Styela clava: one gene and its partner. The main gene of each other region encodes a partner of the protein of the gene in region 2 in a complex. Links are inferred from orthologs where the notes say so. Each region holds a gene or a part of one and is shown on either strand. Other genes may lie near its edges.

Region 1 (11,336 bases), about 6.1 Mb from region 2:
GAGATGTACAGAAATTAAAACTGTACTTTGTGATGTAATACTGCAGCAGACATTTTACAACAGTATCCAACTTTATTATTTGTATGCTCATCCCATAAATATATTCATTAACAAAATAAGTTGAAAACCGAGGCAAAGGCTGGGGACTGGCATAGATTAGTGTGAAAAATGAGCACAACTAAGAGTGTAAAGGATATAAAATCACCCAAAATGAAATATACTAAATCTACCTTTTCATATATTATTCTGGAATGCACAAGCCTACATACTTACCTAGGATCAGTATCTTTTGTTACACAATGATATGAAAAGTCACCAAACATTTGAACACCAAGAATCCCATACAATAAAATGAAGAAGACCAAAAACAGAGTCACCCCAGCAATATGTTGACTAGCCCGCCTGAAATGTAAGAAAGTTTTTAATCATTCAATATTGATTAATATTTTACGAATTTTTATCCAAACCAACCAATTTAAAAAAACAGTGGAATCTGATTCCCATTTTAGAAACTTGGTGTTTATTTGTGTACATACACATTTTCTGCACTAAATTTTCTATATTTAATTTTGCATATTTTGGTGGACATGATGGCATAGTGGGTAAAGCGTTAGGCTTAACTATGTTAGCATTGCAGGTCACACATTCCTGGTTTAATTTCCGTGTCCACCACCTCACCCAGGGTGAAATAGATTGGGTGGGCATTGATAAACCGAGAATTAGCAGTTTTTCAAAAAATAGCAGCTCTCCACACATCATTAGATATCAGTGGAAGCTTGTATAAGGCCACGTTCAGAAAAAACAAAATAAATAAGCATTGAATAAAAAATGTCTTAATTGAATCATTATCTTTGAGAAGTATGGTGTAAAACATTAAGAATTTCAAAACTCTGATATGAAGGGCCTTCTTGTACATCAAATTATAGAAAAAAGTAATGCATATAACAACTCACAGCACAATTGCGGTCACTTGACCACTTCCCGATGACAGAAAATATCTGAAAGCTCTGATTATTACAAGAGCGCGTGGTACACGAGATAAGCCAAGTGGCAATATTGGAGCAATTTCCGGATCTTCATACTCATGCTCATGCTCATGCTGGGATAACTCTACTGCCTGAAGTATAAACAAATATCCATTCGATAAAACTGAATTCATCAAGTAGTTAAGTGTTGTCATTGTCAAGACTGGGCCAACTTGTTTATCTCCATATTCCGAATATACATCTTAAAACATTTTGGAAGTTGAAAATTTCAACTTGAAATCACAGTGATGTTTGTATATTGTGCAGATTATTTAAGATGATTTTTGTGCTCTAACCAATTATACTAAGGTAAATATAATATATACAACAATTGTCAATAACATGTTTAATTATTAAATACTGGTAATAAGGATGAAATTCGATTCCTGTGTACCTGCACCATAACTGAAATCCATATGAATATTGTATCGACACAATCAAACACACAAGAAACATCTTTGAAGTATGGTTTATCACCCTGAAATAAAAGAATGAGATTGGTTATACTTATACGATATGAAGAACGTTCAATCAGGCTTAACATCCAAAAGCTGTAATATTATTATTAAGATTTCGCCTTTAAAATAATGCTTTGGTTTCTGGACAAAAAGGCAAATTTTGAAAAAATCTGTATTTGGAGATATTACAAGAAAATAGGTGTTCTTTAATCTCATATCTGATCAAAGTTTGAAGCAATATTCACCATAAGTATTTCAATAAAAAGTTATGAGGGTTTGAAAATCAGAAATTTATGTTTTCATCATTGTTTCATTGTTTATTTAATTATTCTACTAAATATACATTGACACAACTGACATTCAGCAGTGTGAAATTTCACCTTTATCATTCCTTTCAAATATATTTTGAATAACATTTCAACAGAGAGAACAATCCCAGCAAATATGTCAGCAAATATAGTGATTGAGTTGAAGACAGGATAAGCTTGTATTGTTTCTGGAGTATTTGCACAAACAGATACGAAACTCAGCAATGCACATGAGACAACAAACCGTCGAGTACTCTGAAACATACACATAAGAGAATGAGAAGTCATTGCAAATACAGAATAGAAAGATTATGGAGACTAGTATTTGAAATTACACTTGATATTTAGCCATGTTATGTATGTTTTATTGATTCTTTAAAGCCCATGACTTAAATGATAAGAATACCAAATCTATTACCTACAATCAATTAATAATATAATTCAAAGTACAATGTCACATTTTGCTGCAAACAGAATCCCAGCGAACACAATAAAACAAAAGTCGGGAGATTCACAATGCACACTATAAATACGTTTGGCTATTTATTACCATCGAGATAGTTAAAAAAGTCTTCTGCTCCACACAGAAAATTACTTATGCCTGCGGAACAAATATAAGAATGATAATCACACATTAAGTACATGACGAAATTGCCATTGTTTCAAATGCCGGCCAGTCATTGAATTAAACTATGTGTATCAATCCGTTCATGTTTTAATTAGTAATTCAATGACGCAAAATAGTGCAACACAATATTTATAAAACTGATATGTGCAAAGTATATTCTTATACAAGTATGGGCATTCAAATCAAATAGTCGATTGCAATACCCCGGATGTCCGAAAATCGTTTCTAGTGTTTATAATATTATAAAATTTTATTTTACACCAGCAAGCATTCTGGGCGCCGCCGTCGGAGACGTTTTACTTAAATGTACTTTGCGATGGTTATACGAAAAGGGGACACATTGCGCACGTAATTAATTGTGTGCTTCATCTTCAGTTTAAATCGTAACAGGGTTTAACGAGAAACTTATGAGTTTCTTGAGTTTTGTAGTGTCTAAAATAGAATTTGTATAACCTTACCTCAACATCCCGGAGTTCGTTTTTGACGTGTGTGGTATTATTGAATTCCTAAGCTAGCACAATGCGAGCGAATTCCAAAAATTATTTCAGTCGTTATAAAGGTGTCGTTGATGAAAGTATTGCTCATACTTTCGCAATACGCAATACGCAAAGTCGCGGGGTTAAATTGTGAGAAGATATAAGGGAGATCTAAAAAAGTCGTCATGAATTAAACCAGTGTCGATTTGAATACCTTATAACACTATTTTTCAGCCTTAATACTCCTTTTTATTGGCAGTTGAAAATCTGGGTTGTGGATTCACTCCTTCAAATAATTATCTTCAGTGTCTCGTTGACAGAGAAGATCGCGTAATGACTATTGCGCTTTTCTGACTGAACCGTAGGTTTCGCGAGCGACAAAAATATTCGTCATTGTCCGTAGTTGAACAATATTTAATATAATAGTTCTGCTTCGCGAGCAAAAAATAATCATCGAAGTCAGCGATGGCACAAGACTTAATACTTGCATGGAGAGATACTTGTCAGATAGTGGCGGAATCTGTCGTACTTGTGTTGGCGGGCCAAATAACACTCACGCTGACGACACCCAGTCTGTATTTATAACAAAAATTAGTCACATAAAACCATTTCACTGCATTCCTATTTGCTATTAATTCTGTGCCTGCCCAGGTACAAGCTACAATTCATGAGTATAAATACTGTGGTGATTTCTAATTCTCTCTCAAAAGCAAAAATAGTTTTAAATTTCAATCATATCACAGACGCCATATGTTCTCTTTATATCTGCTTTACTGTGATAACAATAATAAAAATTCCTATTCCGTTGGATTTTAGTGATTTGATTAACATTTATGTTGTGTCGGACCTAAATAAGAATTCGGAATTCAATATTTGATGATAATAATTTAAAATTTAATTGGAATAGTCTAGCATTCGTTTATTGCCATTTAGAGAGGTGTAAATCGACCTTGTTAAGGTTTCACTATTGGATTCCAGTAGTTTGGGATTCAAATCCTTGGATTAGGCAATAAGAGTAACGTGGTATAGTTCAACGCTATTGAACGTGAAGAAAATTAGAATCCAAACAATCGGCCATTCATTACACGAACCATACTGTGATGTGATTATCTTCCGCGAAGCATTTAAAGCTACAGTAACAAAATGCACCAAACAACATACAGAAATATGAAATACAATCAGCAGCAGGATATGTAATGTATGGCAAATCTGAGAATAGCAAATTCTAAAAAGTTATGATTAAATAGGCTAAAACTCACCTTGCTGTATATCCAGTGGGTTCGAAGGTTTTCGTTCATGTTGTTTTCGTTTTTGCGTTACCTAAAAAAAGTTGCAACCCACAAATACGCTGACAAAGAAACGATCTATATAGCAGCAAATCCAATAGAGCGCGAACGGTCTACGTCTATCCATTCGTCGTGGGACGAAACAGACGGGATCGATCGATCGATCAATAGAATTTTGAAAGCCAATACACTGTTTTTCGACTGTTCCGTTGCTTTTCTCTCGTTTTGAGTTTAATGACTAATGAACTTAATTAGACGATAGGCCACACACAGCAACAATATTTTTTATTAAAAAATGTAACTTTTCCGTATAAATATTTCTTGGCGCAAAATGAACAAAAATATTGCTTCAATACCCCACACCGTACGTTTTCATGGTTCACTTACTGATCAGGCCCAGTATGTCCCGTTTGCATTTGATTCAGTGGTGGCATTGAGAGGGTTCCCGCGAATCCGTTCTTGATTTTTGTTTTAGACGTTAGACGACCGAAGCATATAGATTACGTGCGCCGCAGCTGACAATTAGCGTTACATTCGGCGTTTACGTATGTTATGTATGTTTATGTGGTTATGTATTAGATCTATTTAAAGCGTGTTATGTTAATGCGTGAATTCAATACAGAAGATAACCCTTAGCTAAAGTTTTGACTCTTACCACTGGGTCAGTATATTTCCAAACTGAACGCAAGGTAGAGGTTTCACAACATTACCACATTGATCGTTTTGGATTTGCTCAGTTGCAAAACCTTCGGTAACTAATAGATGAAAATTCGCATAAGTCATGTGTTTTTTGTGCCTCCCGAAAATGCTGAAACATAGTAGTTCAATTTCGAAAGATTGATAATATTATTTTGACGACACCAAAAATTTCAATATTTTGCCTGACTATGTGCTGGAAATAGAGAAAATTGTAATAATGCTTTGAATTAATTGATAGTTTCAAAAACACAACTGATATTTGAAAAGGACAATACAAGTAAGTCGAGATATTTGTTGTAAAAATTGACGACTTTCTCAATTAGATAAATAAATAATATACATTCATCATACATTTTGTAGCAAATACATTAGGTAGTTACTATCTATTTCAGTACTTTTAAACACTTATTGATAATAGTTTCTTTTTTCATGCACTACTTCGTTTCGGCATCCTTATCCATGTATTTCAGCTTTTGCTCCCTTGTTGGACACGAAGTGGACATAACGATCGTTTCAATATTATGTTGTTGTTGTTCTTGTTCTTTGACACGTTTTTAAAAAGTCGCTTTTCTCTTCGAATACTGGACCAATTGCTTTGAAATTTTCAGTGGTTAAAGATTAATTTTTTCGCTAGAAGGCTATTACTTTTATTTATTTCAAAATTTTGCGTGAATTCTATGAAATTTGATATTTCGTCTAAAATTTTGCTGTATTATTTTTTATCCATGGGAACACGGATTTTAGTCAGTGTCATGACTGGCTGTACGTTTTGATTCTGCAAAATTCTTGCTACTGGAAATTCAGAACTTTTTTGAGGGTACCGGTAGCGTCAAAGGTACCGGTAAGGACTGATTCGCTCTGGTCTAACGTGTCCATATATTTGTGCGTAGCTGTCTTGTTGTTATTGGACACGAAGTGGACATAACGATCGTTTCAATATTATGTTGTTGTTGTTCTTGTTCTTTGACACGTTTTTAAAAAGTCGCTTTTCTCTTCGAATACTGGACCAATTGCTTTGAAATTTTCAGTGGTTAAAGATAAAATTTTTCTCCAGAAGGCTATTACTTTTATTTATTTCAAATATTTCTGTTAGCTCTGTAAGATTTGTTTTGGTTTGCTATGACGTCACTAAACGTTTTACGGATCTCGGACGCCATTTTGTGTCCAACGGACCATCTTGCAATTTCAATTCACGCTGTCACAAGACAGGACCTTCTAAAGATAGAGAGGTTCTGGTACCGTAACACAGCGCGGTGACACTGAACTAACTCGTAGCTGTCAAAAGCTTGAAAATCCATACAAATATGAGAAATAAAAAGATGAAACTTGGCAGGTGGGTAGAATTGTGTTTCTTTTAACCATATTTGAAAGTTTCGCGTTTCTACATTTGAAGGAGGGGGAATAGGGGGTGTGCATTTCCGATACGTCGATAATATCTTTGTCAACCAATTTGCGGCCACCGTGTTTTCGTCTGTTTGATTGCTGTGATGTGGTGCTTTGTTTATAATTTAACGAGTTTTGTTCGAAATAACCGTGTTCTTGAAATATATGACGGCCAGAAATGCAATTAGAAGCCCAATATTTTCACGCTGTCACAGGACAGGAACTTCTAAAGATAGAGTGGTTCTGGTACCGTAACACAGCGCGGTGACACTGAACTAACTCGTAGCTGTCAAAAGCTTGAAAATCCATACAAATATAAGAGATAAAAAGATGAAACTTGGCAGGTGGGTAGAGTTGTGTTAACCATCTTTGATAGTTACTTCTCTCCCCCGGGATAAATATGTAAATCCTATCCTAATACGTCGATAATGGCGATCGATGGCGCGGCGGTGTGGCTCAACGGGCTAAGCGTTAGGAATACGCTCGCCACCGCACCTCTAATTACTCTGCGTGGGTTCGCAGGTTCGGATCCCATGCATGGATGGATATGTGCGAGAGGATTGCTGGACTCCTCGCCGTCGTTGGGTGGTTCACGTAACCGCTGGTCGGTTACGGCTTCCTCCACCACCAAGTCCATGCTTCCGAAAACAAAATATACAGTAAAACTAATCCCTTACCCGACTTGGAATGGTAACCGGACGAGAGGCCGTGGTTCGCCATATGGATAAGCCGTCTTATCGACTTTCCTCTCCCCCGGGGTAAATATGTAAATCCTATCCTATAATATCTTTGTCAACCAATTTACAACCACCGTGTTTTGTCTGTTTGATTGCTGTATGGCTGCGTAAGCGATAGTCTCGACGCAGCAGAAACGATGATCAAGGCTTGAAATCCGTGGTCGCACACTGGTCGTTCGGTCGCAAATACGTCTTTCGAGTGCCGTACTTTGGGGATTTGTATAGCTTTAACCCTTTGTCGTAGAAAGTTAATACGAGCTTTAGCGTGTAGAATGAATGCCGCCAATGCACCCACGGTGAAAAAATTAACGGGTTAGATATATTGGTTTTTGTTTTATAGCGGTTTGAATGAAATTGTCCGCAGACTGGCTACACCACCCTAGGCCTGGTGAGTTGTCCGTGTAGTCGAATTGTCCATCAGCCCTAAACGGCTATTACAGTCACTGTACCAAAAATTGTACCCCGATTCGGCTGGTGTTAAGTTGACGCATGTTATTTAGTAACGTTTTTATGTGAAATGTTTGACTGTGGTTCGATACCTGATCCGATAATACGGTACATAATTGACTCATATCACGAGATATTTCAACTGATGTGATGTTTCAATTGTCACAGGACCTAAAATATCTATGACAGTCCCTGTACCGTCACGGTACCCCGATACAGGTACTGGTAAGTCACCGCCGGTATGTTAGTCGTTGGTCACCGCATATGATTTTTGGGGAATTGTTCTGCGTGTCTATATATTTGAGCATTGCTCTCTTGTTGGACACGTAGTGGACATAACGATCGTTTCAATATTATGTTGTTGTTGTTCTTGTTCTTGTTGTTCTTTGACACGTTTTTAAAAAGTCGCTTTTCTCTTCGAATACTGGACCAATTGCTTTGAAATTTTTAGTGGTTAAAGATAAAAATTTTCTCCAGAAGGCTATTACTTTTTTTTTCGCTATGACGTCATCAAAATTATGTGACTCTACGTGTCCATATATTTGAGCATAGCTCTCTTGTTGTTATTGTTATTTGTCTCCGTCTACATTTTTAAAAAATCGCTTTTCTCTTCGAATACTGGACCAATTGCTTTGATATTTTCAGTGGTTAAAGATAAAATTTTTCTCCAGAAGGCTATTACTTTTTTTTTCGCTATGACGTCATCAAAATTATTGCCACTGGGTGGCGCTACGTGTCCATATATTCGAGCATAGTTCTCTTGTTTCCAATAGGATTGTTTTCATACGACGTTTTAGGCAAAAAAGTTGAATTCGTATATTTCCACCCTCTCCCAGTGTTGCTTGTCTTTGTTAATCGTTTTTGGCTAGTGAGAATTTGGTTTCATGACATATAATTTAAGATTTTAAGTGTACTTCACTATCTGATATTTGGACCAATTCGATCGTGCTACCCACAATACAATATATATACGAACATTTGGCATTACAGGCTATTGTTTGCTTATTTGAGTTCAGTTGGGGTTTACTCCACTAGAGTACGTCAAATAGTACTGGAGAAGAACACGCAGAATAGTGTCTAACTCCCCTATACTTTCATCTTTAGACGATGACCACCACAGGCGTCTAACCCATCGAAAATTCAGACCGAACTTGTTTCGCCAAGATGAGACCAGAATTAACTGAATTAATCTGCTGGTCTGTGCTGTAGGCAATTACTCAGATATAGTGAGTTAAAACAATTCACAAAATAAAAAATGACTGCTGAAGATCCAAGAACCCTCTGCATAAACCACAAACAGACGACATATTGAAAATAAAGTAGTTGCATTTTTGCGCCCAAATGAACAAACCCAAAGTACGACTCGGACAAGTCATATTCATTACAAACGTCATTTTATTTTCAGGCATCACGACAGCCATTATCCATATGCAAATTAGCAATATTTTATGAGATTGTCTGGCTTGCAAGCAGGATCACATACATCAGAAATTACTGTCGTACGGGAAATAACTCTTCGCGCCACATTATGTCGAGCGGAATTTGATGCGAATTTAGCTATGTGACAAAGTGTATTACAAGGTATGGCCAACTAACGCATCCAATTTCGGCATAAAATATAATTTATAGAATATTGGTGATGAGACCGCATTTCGGTGTGCAATATTACTATATGGTTAGGGCTGGGAATTTCAGGGAAAACACTATAATCGATAACCGGGTAAAATTAACCGGTTAACCGCAGCGTGACGTTTGACGTGATAGTTTTAACATTTTACGCCACAATGGTTACAAAGCAAATTCACGTGATTTTATCTGCGCACACTGAATAGACGATTTTGCAATAAAATCGTGAACAATATGATATTTTTACCGGAAACTGATTCAGAATTTATCATTGTCAAATTTTCATAATCAGCAATCTTGTTACTTTATTTATTTTTCACATTTATTGGGACCTTCCTTACCAATACAGTTAATGATATTCCTTTGAATTAAACGCAACAAGAGATAAATTTGCGATGACGCAATCAGTTTTGAAGAAATTGTACATTATTAAGATTATTTGTAACTGAGATGTAATAATGATTATATCGTAAATCTTTGCTGAAAACGCAAAGCGTGCAACACGGTTCCATTACATTTGAACCCATGACGATTGCACCTGTATGCTATTGCACCTATGGAATTTTTTTTGTTTCACGGATAGTTAAACCCATACTAACCCTAACCCATGGGTTTTAGCACCCGAGTATAGATTGAACCCGTGGATATACGCATGGGTTCAAATGTACATGGGTTCAAATGTACGGTCACCGTGCAACACACTTCACCATTAGGAATCCATTCCATATATATTGTTCTGTGTCCGCTGTACCTACACGCGAGCTTCTCTAGCAAACGGGGCAATCGAGGTGTGTAATGCCAGAGAAGACGCTGGTATCTGATTGGTAATTAAAGCAAAATGTAGAAGTCGCCGCACAGTTCTGAAGAGGCAGGCTTGTCCATTAACAATATATATACTCCGTGAAGGGGCTGATGGACACATTTATAATATTTATGAATATAAAGTTGACGAAGCCTGTAAATTTTGTTGTTTTGTATGTCTCTTCGTACATGTAGTCCTATTTAGTAGACGCTAAACCTAAATTTAACAATTTTTATTGAATTGTATTCCACTGGGAATCTCATGGGATGGTAATGGGACAGAAAAATATGTCCCATGGACAAGCCTGTGAAGAGGTGTAAACAGAATACCGTTATCGAATCCCGCGATTCGAATATTCTGAAGATTCTGCTCCTATGAACAGTTCCACTGCAGTGATCAAAGGGTCAAATAAAAATCTCACTCTTTTATGTGGTTGATACCGTTTTTAGACATATTCAATATTACGGGAAATGAACTCGTATTATCTGCCTCTTACCTTACTGGTTTTGCGCATATTACTTCCTACTACCACATTTGTATTTTAACGTAGAAGTCCCGCGACATGATACTCGTAAAGCGTCCTGCAAAATTAAAATGGTGTTTATCTCGCTGTGGGTCTAAAAATTGGCAATCTTTCACGTGTGCCCTTTCGGCTTAACTTCTGATGATGTAAAATTTAATTTGTTTAAATTTAAATTTTAAAAAGGGTAATTAATGAACATGGATATAGTGTCAGAACTTTGTCAAAAGTTCATTCCTACAAATTCGCTACGTTTGAACAAATTTATATATATGAGCTGCTTTGTTTGAATGTTTTTTTGCCAATTGTTTTTCTCATTCATCTCAGTTGTAACACTGTGTTTGTAGAGTATAGATATATGAAATACGCTGGCAGGAGTCTGTGTGAGACAATGTGGATGAGTTTTCGCTACCTCATCAATTATTTTGTATATTAAAAGGCGTGGCACAATTACGGGGAATTCATGCGATTGATCCATATGTAACCTTTTAAGTGTATTACATAGTGATCTCCTTACATCCCTCTTAAGGGGGTGAACAATTCCTAACTTAAATATAATTGTATTTAAATATCCACATAGTGCCGTATATAGCCTACCGGAGCAGATAGTCAGTCAAATACATAACACATTATTAAAAATAATTTTATCGCAAATAGAAAAAGATCCACCACCCCCTACACTGAGCACACACTTCTAAAATGAAAAGCTGAGTAGCAATCTGGTATTACATATCAGGTGCCGGCTAGCACAGTTTTTCTGTCGGTCCACGAGTAATTTTTTTTTTCATATTATTTTTCGCCAGCGTAACTGCATGGTTTCCGAAAATTTGAAGTTTTATTGCTTTTATAGACGATTTGTCTCCGTCGTAAATTGGTTTTGACAAGGGTTGCATCGATTGATCCGTCGCGAAAGCAATAATTATGTAGATTCTCGCAGGTGC
Region 2 (11,476 bases):
CAGTTATTAAATATATAATAGGAAAACATATTCCTCACTTATCTGAATCACCATCGTCACAGTTTTCTTTTGACGTGCTATTTCCTCTTGAATGTTTGTCGTTACATACCGTGGGTTTGACCGTAGAATTCATAGCACGTATATCTGGTATTTCATGATTCCACAAGGCTTCCCATGTTTTTATTCCACTAAAAAATGATTTTCAGTTATGAAAATACAAGAAAAATGTATGGAAGGACAAGGAAGTAGTAGCAAATCAGATGCAATAAATGCCCGGGAATAAAACTGTTTATTTTATCTTGAAAACGGGATTAGCGATCTTGTGTTTTACTCGCGGGGGAAGGCTTATACATCCTCGGTTTGTGCGACAATTAAAAGCAACATTTTACCTTGCTAATCGAAACTTCAAATCTGATTCTTTCACTGTGTTGGCAAGAGGAGCAAATAAAAATACGAAAAGTTGGATATTTGAAATAACCCCAGCACGAAGTCCCGTATCGTCGTTAGCCTCCTGAGCTGTGTCCATGCTTTCATAAAGTATGCTGTGAAATGTGTGCAGCAGTTTGGTTGCTGCAACGCCAAGTATGTCCGCATGGCCTGTAAAAATTAAACAGTGTTGCAAGTCAATATTACAAATAGCAGTATTTTGATTTGAATACCTAAACTTAGTTAAAAGACTATTGACTACATTTGTATGGTAATGCATTCGAGCTTGACCTTGTTAAGCTCCTGTTGGTCTTTAAAAACGCGATTTGAATTGACGGATAAAAACCCCAATCAATCTTAATGTGCCTATGAAAAATATACGTGAGCTGTAATACATAATTCATACAATAATAAAATACATCTTCGAAGCTAGTTTCAATTTTTCAAATGTATATATATATATATTTCAGAACAGCTTATAATATTTTAATCCATGACTGAGCAGTCTATTCACCCCATACTTCAAAACGCTATATTCATTGGTCAGTAGAATTTCACAAGTATAAACAATACGTTCACGTTATAAACAGTAAAGTTCCATAGAGGGTACTTGAACTCTAAAGCATAATATGGAGAAAACATGAAAATAGTAAAATTATGATAGAATATTGGTCTAAATGCAAAAATTATATATATTATATGCAGATTCAACGTTCTACATATCAACGTTAGAATTGTTTCTTGGCCAAGATTTAGGATTCCAAAAATAATATAAATCAAGATTTGAAAGCCAGAATAGAAAATTGATTTTATAACTGACAAAATTTGGTACACATACTCCCTTGGGATATCACACTGAACTGTATTTATTTAATATTTAATTGGTGTCCTTGGAGGGACACTTGAATATAATTATTCAGACCTTCAAAGTTTAGACTATAAAAAACGAATGTTTTTCGAACATAGGCCATTTCGAACATAGGCTCGTTCAATCTCAACACATAAAAAATGAGAAATATGTTTAATCTAAGTTGCCTTTCTTCGCGAGATTCGAGCAATAAAATTATTCGAAAAGTTCAGTTTCCATGCTGCGATAGCGGGAAGAAGGATTAGGTTACAATTTTCAAGATAGGAGTAAAAAAAATATCAAAAATCCACATCCTTTTATATAAGTTTTCAATCTTCATATTTATTGTCTGCCATAAAATTACCACAATTTAAGTGAAATGTAATATGTTCGACGGAAATTACTTATTTTAGTTATTGTAAGAACTGTACAAGTCGAATTCTTGCAGAGTTCCATTTTTCTATAGTGTTCAAGAATTATTTCCATTTTTGATAGCCTATTTGACTGCAATTTACATCAAACCTTGCAGCCTAAGAGATCGATTTTTATTTGATTTGTTTTCGACGTACGCTGTTAAAAATGAAACAAAATAAATCTCATTTTAGGTATTTCAACACAGTAACCAATTAGTTGTGAATCTGAACAACTATAAATTAACTGTAATGTGGCTCTATTTTTAACAGTGAAGGCTAAAAATAAAATAGATAAAAAATCGATTTCTGCTACAAAGTCGCTCCAGAAAATTTGCTAACCAGAATTAAAATTTCACTTTATAAAAAAGCGATAAATCAACCTCTAAGATGTATTGGATGGAAAAAGCATATTGCGTTATTGAAGTACGCCAAGGTAATATGGCTTGAATTCATCTATAATTGGGCTCACAAGTCACTCCGACGTTCGATCGATTAAAGGAGAATTGATTGATTCGATAGTTCTATCATTTTCATTTCTACGTTAGTTCATTTTTTGATGAGACCATAGGTTATCAATATAGCGAAAGTAATTAATGTTGCGTAATGAACCCACTCGCAATTTGGATGTTCTCAAAGGATCTATATCATCTGAATAAAAGATTTATTCCATGTTTTCTCTTTGGTCGAAAAAAATAACGATTATTCATATAAATTGAATGGTAAAGAGCTATCGCGAAATACTATGACGAAATACCCAAGTACCAGAAAGTCATAAAAAATTCAATACGCAATTCAATCAAGTCTGAATTAGGTAGGATAATTTGGTATTTGGATAATTATAGGAATGCTCATATTACAATATGCGCTAACGCGAATCACTTTCGGATAGTGTGATATCAATTAATGATAAGAAAAAGGCCAACTGTTTCTGGATAAACTGACGCACATGGCTTAAATTACATGACCACAGCGGGCGCAAGCATAGGTAAGACGATGGTTTTATCGAATGTCAGATGTATTTTCTTTTAAATTTTAGGCTATTCAAATTTAATTTTGTTTGTGGCTTAAACTCTAAACTATCCTTATGGTTTAATGTTTGTAACAAAAGCCATATTCTACACATAGAGCTACATAATTTGAACGTCACTGGTAACTCGTATCACATATCGGAATATGAGAAAATACATCTGGCATTCAATAAGACCATTGTCTTACCTATATGCTTGCGCCCGCTGTGGTCGTGTAATATTTTAGCCATGTGCGTCAGTTTATTCAGAAACAGTAGGCCTTTCTCTTATCATTAATTGATAGCACACTTTCCGAAAGCGATTTTCCATGATTTATTAAAAACGTCTCCAATTAAAAATTCGCGTTAGCGTATATTATAGTGTGAAAGAAACCAAGGCAGCAGCAAAGGCCAATAAAAAAACGAAAGAAGTGACTGGAAGCATCTAGCGCTCACCAACAGTCAAATTTAGTTTGTTTGCGGCCTAAGGCTCGTCATCGCTAGCTTAAATCGCAAGTTCATCAATATCAATTGAGTGCTGTACTATTTCACCACCAAAAAAGAGATTATATTAATACTTATTGCACCATTTTGTCTAATGGATTTTGATGAGAATAGTCAATCGACGATGTTCCTAAATATTTAACAGTATAGGATAAATTTTTAAATTTATCTCAGAGATGAAAGCAAAACTTATAGCGAACCACAGCCTCTCGTGCGACTGCCAGTCCAGATCGGGTATGGAAATAGTTGATTGTTAATTTACTGCTATTGCGTTCTAGGCCCTTGGACTAAGACGAGACTCTTCGCGCATATTAATTACCCAACGCTGAATTCGAACCTGCGAACCCATGCTGGATAATCAGCGATACGATGGCAAGTGTCATTTATTCTCAACGTCTGACACGTTGGGCAAACAATTCAAACTGGAGTAACATTAAAACCGATACTTCATTCAAATAAGAATACAATGCCAACCAATATAATCGAGTTACATACATTAGATGCCATATATATCGTAATAATGCACACTTTCTAGGTCACGTATAAGACGTAATATGAACGTTCTCATACCCAATTTGTTTCTGTTGCTGAGCATCACCGATGCACAATGCATAACATGTGGTAAGGCTGCTTCAATGAGTACACGCCTAGGAGTTCGTGTTACAGCTTCGTATAGTGATGGTGGAAGTCCATTTAATTTGTTTTCTACTAGAACATGTTCAAATAGCTGGAAAACAACCAAATATATTTAATGGGAAGAACAGTAATTTGCGATTAGATTTTTTCAAAAGGAGTATGTTTTGACTTACCACACACGAGGCTTCATATAGCTTTCCCAGCTTTTGTCGAAAGAAGGGTCTATTAAAATATAAATGCAGTTAATTTGATGCAATCTAAATATTGATATTGCGGCAGTGTCTGGTTGTAGAACCTCATTATTTATATCAATTAATAACCACAACATTATCACGTAGTTCCTACCACCTTAACGTTGTAGGTTAGAAATCTCGAGCCTTCGTAATCATTCTGTTATTCAACATAATATGTCCAACATTCCACCCAGAGTTTAGCATTTGGCTATGACAATTAGAAATTCAGTTTCCTTAAAGTCAAATAATTTCATTTGTACGAAGCCTTTTGCCGTACGACCGGGAGGAACAATTTATAAAATATACTGTATATGCATATTCATTTATATTTCTTGATTCCAATATTAATTATTTATTATATGTATTTGTTCGTAAATCAATGCTTTGGTTTAAAGAATAATATTTACTTACTCTGTTTGTCGCCATAAAAATGATTGGATAGCCAAAGGTATGGACGATGTTTCAGGCCCTTGCATTACAATATCATCAAATTTTCGTTTCACCATTTTGAACTTTCACAACGAAACAATATTATATTATCTTCTGTTTGCAAGAAAAAAATCAACTCCACTTTGAAAATCCCATTTTTTAAAATTATTGTTTATGATAAAAAAGTTTTTTGTTAGCTAGCTGATTGTCATTAATAAATTATCCTACACGAGAATGGAAGCCTATCCACCATTTTCCAATTGCGACACTGACTTTTCCCTCGTCTATTTTATACCCATGACTAATATCCATAAAATTTCGATAGGTATGGTCATGCCTTGACGTATATGAAAATGTGCTGGTCAATCTGAAATTCTATAATTCTTCTATTCAGTGCTATATATGCTTGCCGTTGATTTGCTTCATTCTATTCATCGTTGATGTCTGCACTATACCAGTGTCTAATGTTAACTATTTTTCAAGAAACGTAAATTACATGACACCATCCTACCTTAAACGTAAACTTGATCAACAATTCATTTGAAATATACTAAGTGGAGTGGAGCTATCGGTACTATCTTGTTTTCCCCAGCCACTGCATTTCGATCCTGTTTTCTTTAATTGTGTCCCATGTAAGGTTAGTATAAGTGGGGTCAAGTCATTACTCAACCTTTCTCCGTTTATTCTTACATAACCGAGTTAACTTTACTAGAAGCAAGGAAAATCGTTCATTTCAATCAATAACTAGTATACGCACCGAAAACCTACCAGAAAGAAAGAACAACGCGCAATTTTCCATCTATATCGTTCTACTGAATAAAGTTAGTTTGGTAGAAAATCGAGTCAAATAATGTCCCCGACTACAGCTTTACGCAAATAACTCAAAGTCCAAATGATAGAAGAGGAAAATAATATTATCAGGCAAATAATAACAAATTTGGAATGAAAACGGGTAAACCCACGCTGTAGCGGCATATACAGAGGTAACTTAATATATCAACTTCGCCAAATTTTTCATTTGTTTACTACCAGAGTTAAACATGGTATATGTCAAATTAGAGTTGCGAGTTGGGTGGGCCTTACCATCAAGTTTAATTTAAATTGAACTAAAAAATGCTTTTGATCAAATTCGGAACCGTTATAGTGCCAAGCATTCACATGGCGTCGGACAACCATTTTCTATTTCGAGTTGGTATGGAACCCAAAAAGCTGCGTGTCCTCTCGCAACTGACGAATCTTACAAAACCAAAATCTTATCGCAACGAAAAAATTTGCATAATTCCCAAAAAGGTATTGGGATTACAGAAACATGTGTACCTATAAACAGGTACGGCACATATTCTTTGTTCGTTTATTTAATTATGCACGCTTTGCGGGGATTTATGCGTAGTACAGCAGGGCGACGACATATTTTACATCACGTCTGCATGAAAGATTGACGGCATATAAAATATTAATTTCCAGTCAATCCCAACAGTAGTCGTATCGGATTCACGCTAAACTGTAATGACAGGTATAAATTCTACGCTGTCTCGAATGAGAACTTATTAAAACAAAAAAGCAAGTAAAATCTCCATGTTTACGTCTCAAAATATAACTTGATTAATTGAAGCAGAATAGCAACTCAAATACTTCTCATACATACTTTAAAAATACAATCAATAAATATTTGGCAGTTCCACTCATTTCAATTGGCATGCGATCTATATGTTATCATCAGTTTCACATGAGTGTTTGTTAGTGTTCCTGACTATCCGTATCAACTAAAATAAATGTCGCATCACACTATCAGAATAATTGTCAAAAGATTAAAACTATCGTAGTAATGTCGTTGATAAAATTGTATCACAAAAATGAAAACCGTGTCATATATTATAATTTCGAAAGTGGACAAATTTGTCAGTTCCTGTAGCATGCGAAATCTCGCCTTGCCTGCGCCTATTTTATGCTACTTGGCCCCCACTAAATTCTATATCTAGAGAATTCAATAGATTAACTGGAGACCACCTTTGATCAATATAATATAGTCATTCTACTGGTATTCTTTTTCTACCTATAGGTTGTGATACAATATACAACAAATAAATAACTCGATTAGAGAAACAGTCTGGTACCAAGTATTTCGACATGCAACTATATATATATATGTATAAGTCAAAGTCGGTTGCCTATTGGTTCGTCTGACAGCATCTATTAAGTTGGCCAATTAAAAATATAATGTTGTAGTATTCGTTTTTAGTATTCGCTCGACAGGTGGTCTTGCTCATCAAATCCTTTCTAGATCAAAATTGGACGGAATCTCTGGCGGCTCAACGTGAATCTCAGGGAATTAAAATATTACAATTGAATTTATATTTTTGCGCATATTGTAAAATAGAATTATATGTTAACGTTGTTGTTTTCAATCATAACACCAAATATACACAGGGAGGCTTTCCAGAAGCCAGGGGATCGACTGCATCCTTTTCCCAGTACACTACGTATTGAACTGTAGTAATATTTTTGCGATTGTAGCATTAGAATCGCACTAGGCTCACGCTAAAAATCTTATCTACTTCCAGGCGTCTTCTACACTGCATCTTAGCCTTAACGTTTTCTTTCTATCAATTTTGTGTATTGGGTACTCAATTATGCAAACGGTATTCTTCCTTTTTTTCAATTTCGCTCGCAATTAGGGTCGATAATATATGGCTGCGCACAGATTTTTCGCCCGTCCATCTTCATTTACCTTGGTCGCCTTCTGGGGCCGTATGTCACGAGCCTTCGTTTACGTTGAGCGACGTGTCTCGAAAGAAAATTCCTTCAGGCGCGAGACATGATTAGAGCGGGTCGATACCAAACCAATTGCTGGAACCTTATTTTCCAATTCCCTCTGTTTGTCTCGTTTTTCATTGCTAATTGAATTACAGATGCTCGATCAAATAAATCATGCCGCACAGAAGAGAAAAGAAACTTATTGACTGGTAACGGCCTTTCGTTTTCTTATCTGTCGCAAATGCATTACACATTCTCCTATTTAGTAAATAAGATAGGAAATGTTCTAAATTGAAGTCGTTTAGGACGATTCATCTGTCACCTTTGGGTATATATATAATGAATATTACATAAACCTCATCAAAAATTGCGTTTTCAGATATGCCCTTCCATGGGCATATAAAGATACACAAAACTTTAGCAGATTAGAATGATGCGTGATCGATTGTTATTCTTCTATACGTCTACATTATACTATGGCGTGGGAATACGCTAGCTAGCTACATTAACCAACCTGACAGCATTTATTAGTACTTTTAAAAACAAATTGATAAATAAAATGATAAATGAAAACATAATATATATATAGTCCCCCTGTATTTGAGTTGTATGGATTTCCTCATCGTATGATTACAAAGACATACTTGGTATTATAGCAATTAGAAATATTGCTCAAATTGGACTTGCGCTTGTTCCCTTTCGTCAACGAATCTACTACGACAGCTTTCAACCAATTTTTATATTACATTAAACTACAGAAATTCAATCGAAGTACGGTTCCGTTAGGGTGAGATTATATGGTTCAAATATTGCACTTTTTTATTATTTAAAATAGCCTACAGTTATTTATTTTTGATAATGCCCATTGTATGGTGTAATTTTAAATGAGTTTCGTGTTCATAAAATGCGCTTTTTGTCGCGCTCAGAAGAAAAATGCAAACAGCACCACTGAATGCAAGTCAACCTAACAGTAATAAGACTTCTCTGATCTGGCTGCCGTGTTTGTATTTAAGATCAGATTTATCGACGTTTTTGAGACTGGACTGCAACACCTGTAAAATATAGCCAATACACAAGGCTTGTCAATAATCCCCCAAAAACCTGATTCATGTATGTTAATTTGGATTATAAGCATACCCACCGCGCGTGAATTTAAAGGCGACGCTTCGATAATCAGGCAATTAGTCTACCTATCGGGAGGCAGAACATCGCAGAATTCAATTGAGCACTTACGTTGGCTACACTCGAAGAATATATCTTGTATACATTTTAGGTATCTGTATTGTGACGTCCTGCTTTTTGCATACTTCCACTAAAAATGCCACCTTGTCACTGCTTATATACTTCATAATGGATTGCCTATTAACTGTCTTGTTATGTATATCCGGTTCGGACTCGGCTTCTGTCAGAACGCCGCGCCCTTCACAGCAATCAAAACAATGGGTACTCCTGAAGTATGCGCACCAAGATGTCGCATAACCTGAACCCTAACCTGGTACACAACCTGAGTTCAGGTTGTGCGCCATCTTGGTGCGCATACTTCAGGAGGTCCAAACAATGTTATTGAACAGCACTTCCACGCAAATTGTATTAATCCTACCATGTGGATTCTTGGCTGTTACCCATGGTTGTGGTTAATTTATCGGTAATCGGGTTCTTTGTTTGTAACGGATTAGATTCTTTGACATAAAACTTTTCAAATATTAATTGTTCGTCCCTTTTCTATTCCTTCTTCAATCAATTTTAGACTTAATCACGAGTTTCGCTGCTTGATAACCAGCATTGGCTTAGATATATACAGCTTATTTTGAAAACTCCATAATACACACAGAATAAAATAGAGAATTCTGGAGAGCGAGTAAAACCCTAAAAAGGTTAAAACGTGAGAAAAAATTACAAAAAATCCAAAGCTTGGATCAGAAATAAACACACAAAAAGTGCGTGAGTGTATTGAACTTTCAGGTGCTAACATTTTAATATACCTATAAGCTAATTAGGACCAATTCAATCTGATACAAAGATAACATGTTGGATGCAATGTGATGACACTGACGAGGACAGTCAAAAGCCGTGAAAAACTACACTGATTGGGCATAGGTGATGAAGTGGTTTACTTTAAGATACATAAAAATCTAAATCAGACCTATGTCCAGGGAGATGATTAACAAATAAGCTGATAATCACGAGCACCACATAAATTTTCATAGCCGAATTTTCAATGATGCCTCACTGTTCAATGAAATAATTCGAGTTGGTTTGACTACTAGAATTCCAATATTGCCGTTCAGATATAATAAATTTTTGCATGTTTTTCGTTCTCAAATATCCTCGTAAACCTCAACAAATGTTTGTAAGGCAGGAGAACTATTTTCTAAAAATATCATGCAAATTAATCATAATTTGGCCGTCAATCAGTAATGAATACTGTTACATTTCACTGTAACTTCAATGCTGTCAAAAAGCGTAAGTTGTTGAACTTTTAAATAGCATTTCAACGTAACTGCAATACTGTTGAAAAGAGTCGGTTGTTAAACGCTTAAATAGCATTCCACTGTTACTTCAATACTGTCAAAAAGCGTCAGTCGTCAAACGTTTAAATAGCATTTGTCCGTTATTTAATACTATTAAAAATCACCAGTCGTTGAACGTTTAACTAGCATTTGACCGTAACTTCAACACAAGAGTTTGTTGTGCAGACGGATTTGCAGGCGTATAAAAAGCAAGTTGTAGGCAAGACTGAATTAACCAAGAAGCACATGCTCGTAGCAGCAAGAAAAAGGTGCCACCACAGAAATTTTCAATATTGTCTCAGTGTTTAATGAAACAATTGGATAGACGATTCAGACCTCAATATTGGCCAAGTTCAAATTAATTTTGCTTATTTTTCTTTCTCAAGTATCATCTTAAGCCTATAGATAAATGTTTCTAGTTATGAAAACTATTTGCTAAAAATATCAATCAAATTAGTCATAATTTGGCCTTCAATCAATAATGAATACAGAAACCTAATTATTCAATTTCAGATAACATGGAACACGCCAGTCATTATTATTTTACACATAGGGCACCACCAATGTCTTAAGTGCTTAGGGCGTCTGAAGGCCATGATCCAGCACTACCTGTGCGACGAAAGCCGGCAAAATCACTAGGTGATTCAATGCTCTATCACATTGGTCCAGGCCAAATAATGAATTATATCGGAATACTCTAACAATATCACACCGTATAGCCAAGTAACAGTTTGAATCACTACGAATTTATTTTCAGTTCCAGGCATGACGCAAACATACACCAGCTACTTTCCAAACAGCGAAAGCCAAATATCATTTTGACAACCTAAAAAACAGAAAACTATCTATTACTTTAAAATACTAATTAAACACAGTACAAACTAAAACTATATAGCACTTTAACTCAACTACTACCAAAGCGAATTGCACCACAGAGTCAGACTTATAAGATCAGGTGGCAGGTTCACAGCATGTTCAAAAATATGATAGAATTAGGAAACAGAATTTTCCGGGATAAAACGATAATTTAACTTCCTCTAGGTGAGTGCAGCAATGATATCAATGTGATAGTAACTCACTTGAAACTTGTTTCACCGTTATATATTTTAAAATGTACCTGCCACACTGTACAATGAAAAGGGAATCTAGTTGAAAAAATATCAGTATTGTGATAAAGTTGCCATGACCAAGAAACTATTGCCTATAGTTTATATAGACATTGCTATAAGAGGCAGTTATTAATTTTTAAAATGAGAGGAGATAAATGTATTGTTTCGCAAACCAGAAAACAGCCATCACTGCAACATAAATACTTAACAAACATGATATAAATCGGAAATCATGGCTTGTAGTGATTTAATGAAGATGAGATACTAAACCTTACAGTATCAGCGCCAGACACCAAACCGATATCCCAGCGCAGTTCTCTTCAAAAACATGCATAATACACTAAGCCTCCTACAATTTTCAACAATTGTAAACATGAAGTAGCTTTAAAGCAGGCAAGCAGGGATGGCCATTTCCGAATACTAAACTATTCCGAATACATTCTAAAATAATGTTTTCGAATCTGGAATTCCGAATACATTCTAAAATCGAAAATAACACATTTTTGTTTTAGTTGATTAAAACCCAGTAAATTAGGAAATAAGCTCCAATAGAAATATCAGAATGAAGCCACAGACCAACAGTATATGTACACAAAGTAATTGATAGTT

What was found.
Region 1: the proteins of protein unc-80 homolog (region 2) and sodium leak channel NALCN-like are in contact, whole or in part, in a cryo-EM structure (PDB 7SX3), measured with the Homo sapiens proteins. The link is inferred for Styela clava from reciprocal best matches to the Homo sapiens genes UNC80 and NALCN. Residues at the interface, in NP_115893.1 of Homo sapiens: Lys1979, Asn2004, Glu2005, Cys2006, Asp2007, Leu2128, Arg2129, Leu2130, Pro2131, Pro2134, Arg2135, Ile2138, Asp2139, Phe2142, Phe2145, Ser2146, Glu2179, Asp2184, Glu2185, Met2187, Leu2188, Asn2191, Asn2194, Ile2198, Leu2199, Glu2202, Ser2226, Leu2227, Ser2228, Gln2231; in NP_001337678.1 of Homo sapiens: Asn639, Met643, Val644, Ile646, Lys648, Leu649, Pro650, Phe653, Val655, Pro656, Lys657, Ile658, Arg659, Glu660, Phe662, Met663, Lys664, Gln665, Phe666, Ile667, Arg669, Val711, Ser713, Arg715, Ala716, Arg717, Leu719, Lys722, Glu723, Ala725.

The regions. Positions count from the first base shown.
Region 1 is NC_135251.1:29,476,816-29,488,151, forward strand, and holds the start of sodium leak channel NALCN-like, read right to left. Parts: upstream 4,525-11,336; 5' UTR 4,194-4,524; coding exon 4,155-4,193; intron 2,047-4,154; coding exon 1,864-2,046; intron 1,504-1,863; coding exon 1,420-1,503; intron 1,118-1,419; coding exon 954-1,117; intron 403-953; coding exon 274-402; intron 1-273. UniProt on the Homo sapiens protein: Voltage-gated ion channel responsible for the resting Na(+) permeability that controls neuronal excitability. NALCN channel functions as a multi-protein complex, which consists at least of NALCN, NALF1, UNC79 and UNC80.
Region 2 is NC_135251.1:23,382,947-23,394,422, reverse strand, and holds the start of protein unc-80 homolog, read right to left. Parts: upstream 4,632-11,476; 5' UTR 4,572-4,631; coding exon 4,477-4,571; intron 4,055-4,476; coding exon 4,006-4,054; intron 3,924-4,005; coding exon 3,767-3,923; intron 598-3,766; coding exon 390-597; intron 189-389; coding exon 39-188; intron 1-38. UniProt on the Homo sapiens protein: Auxiliary subunit of the NALCN sodium channel complex, a voltage-gated ion channel responsible for the resting Na(+) permeability that controls neuronal excitability.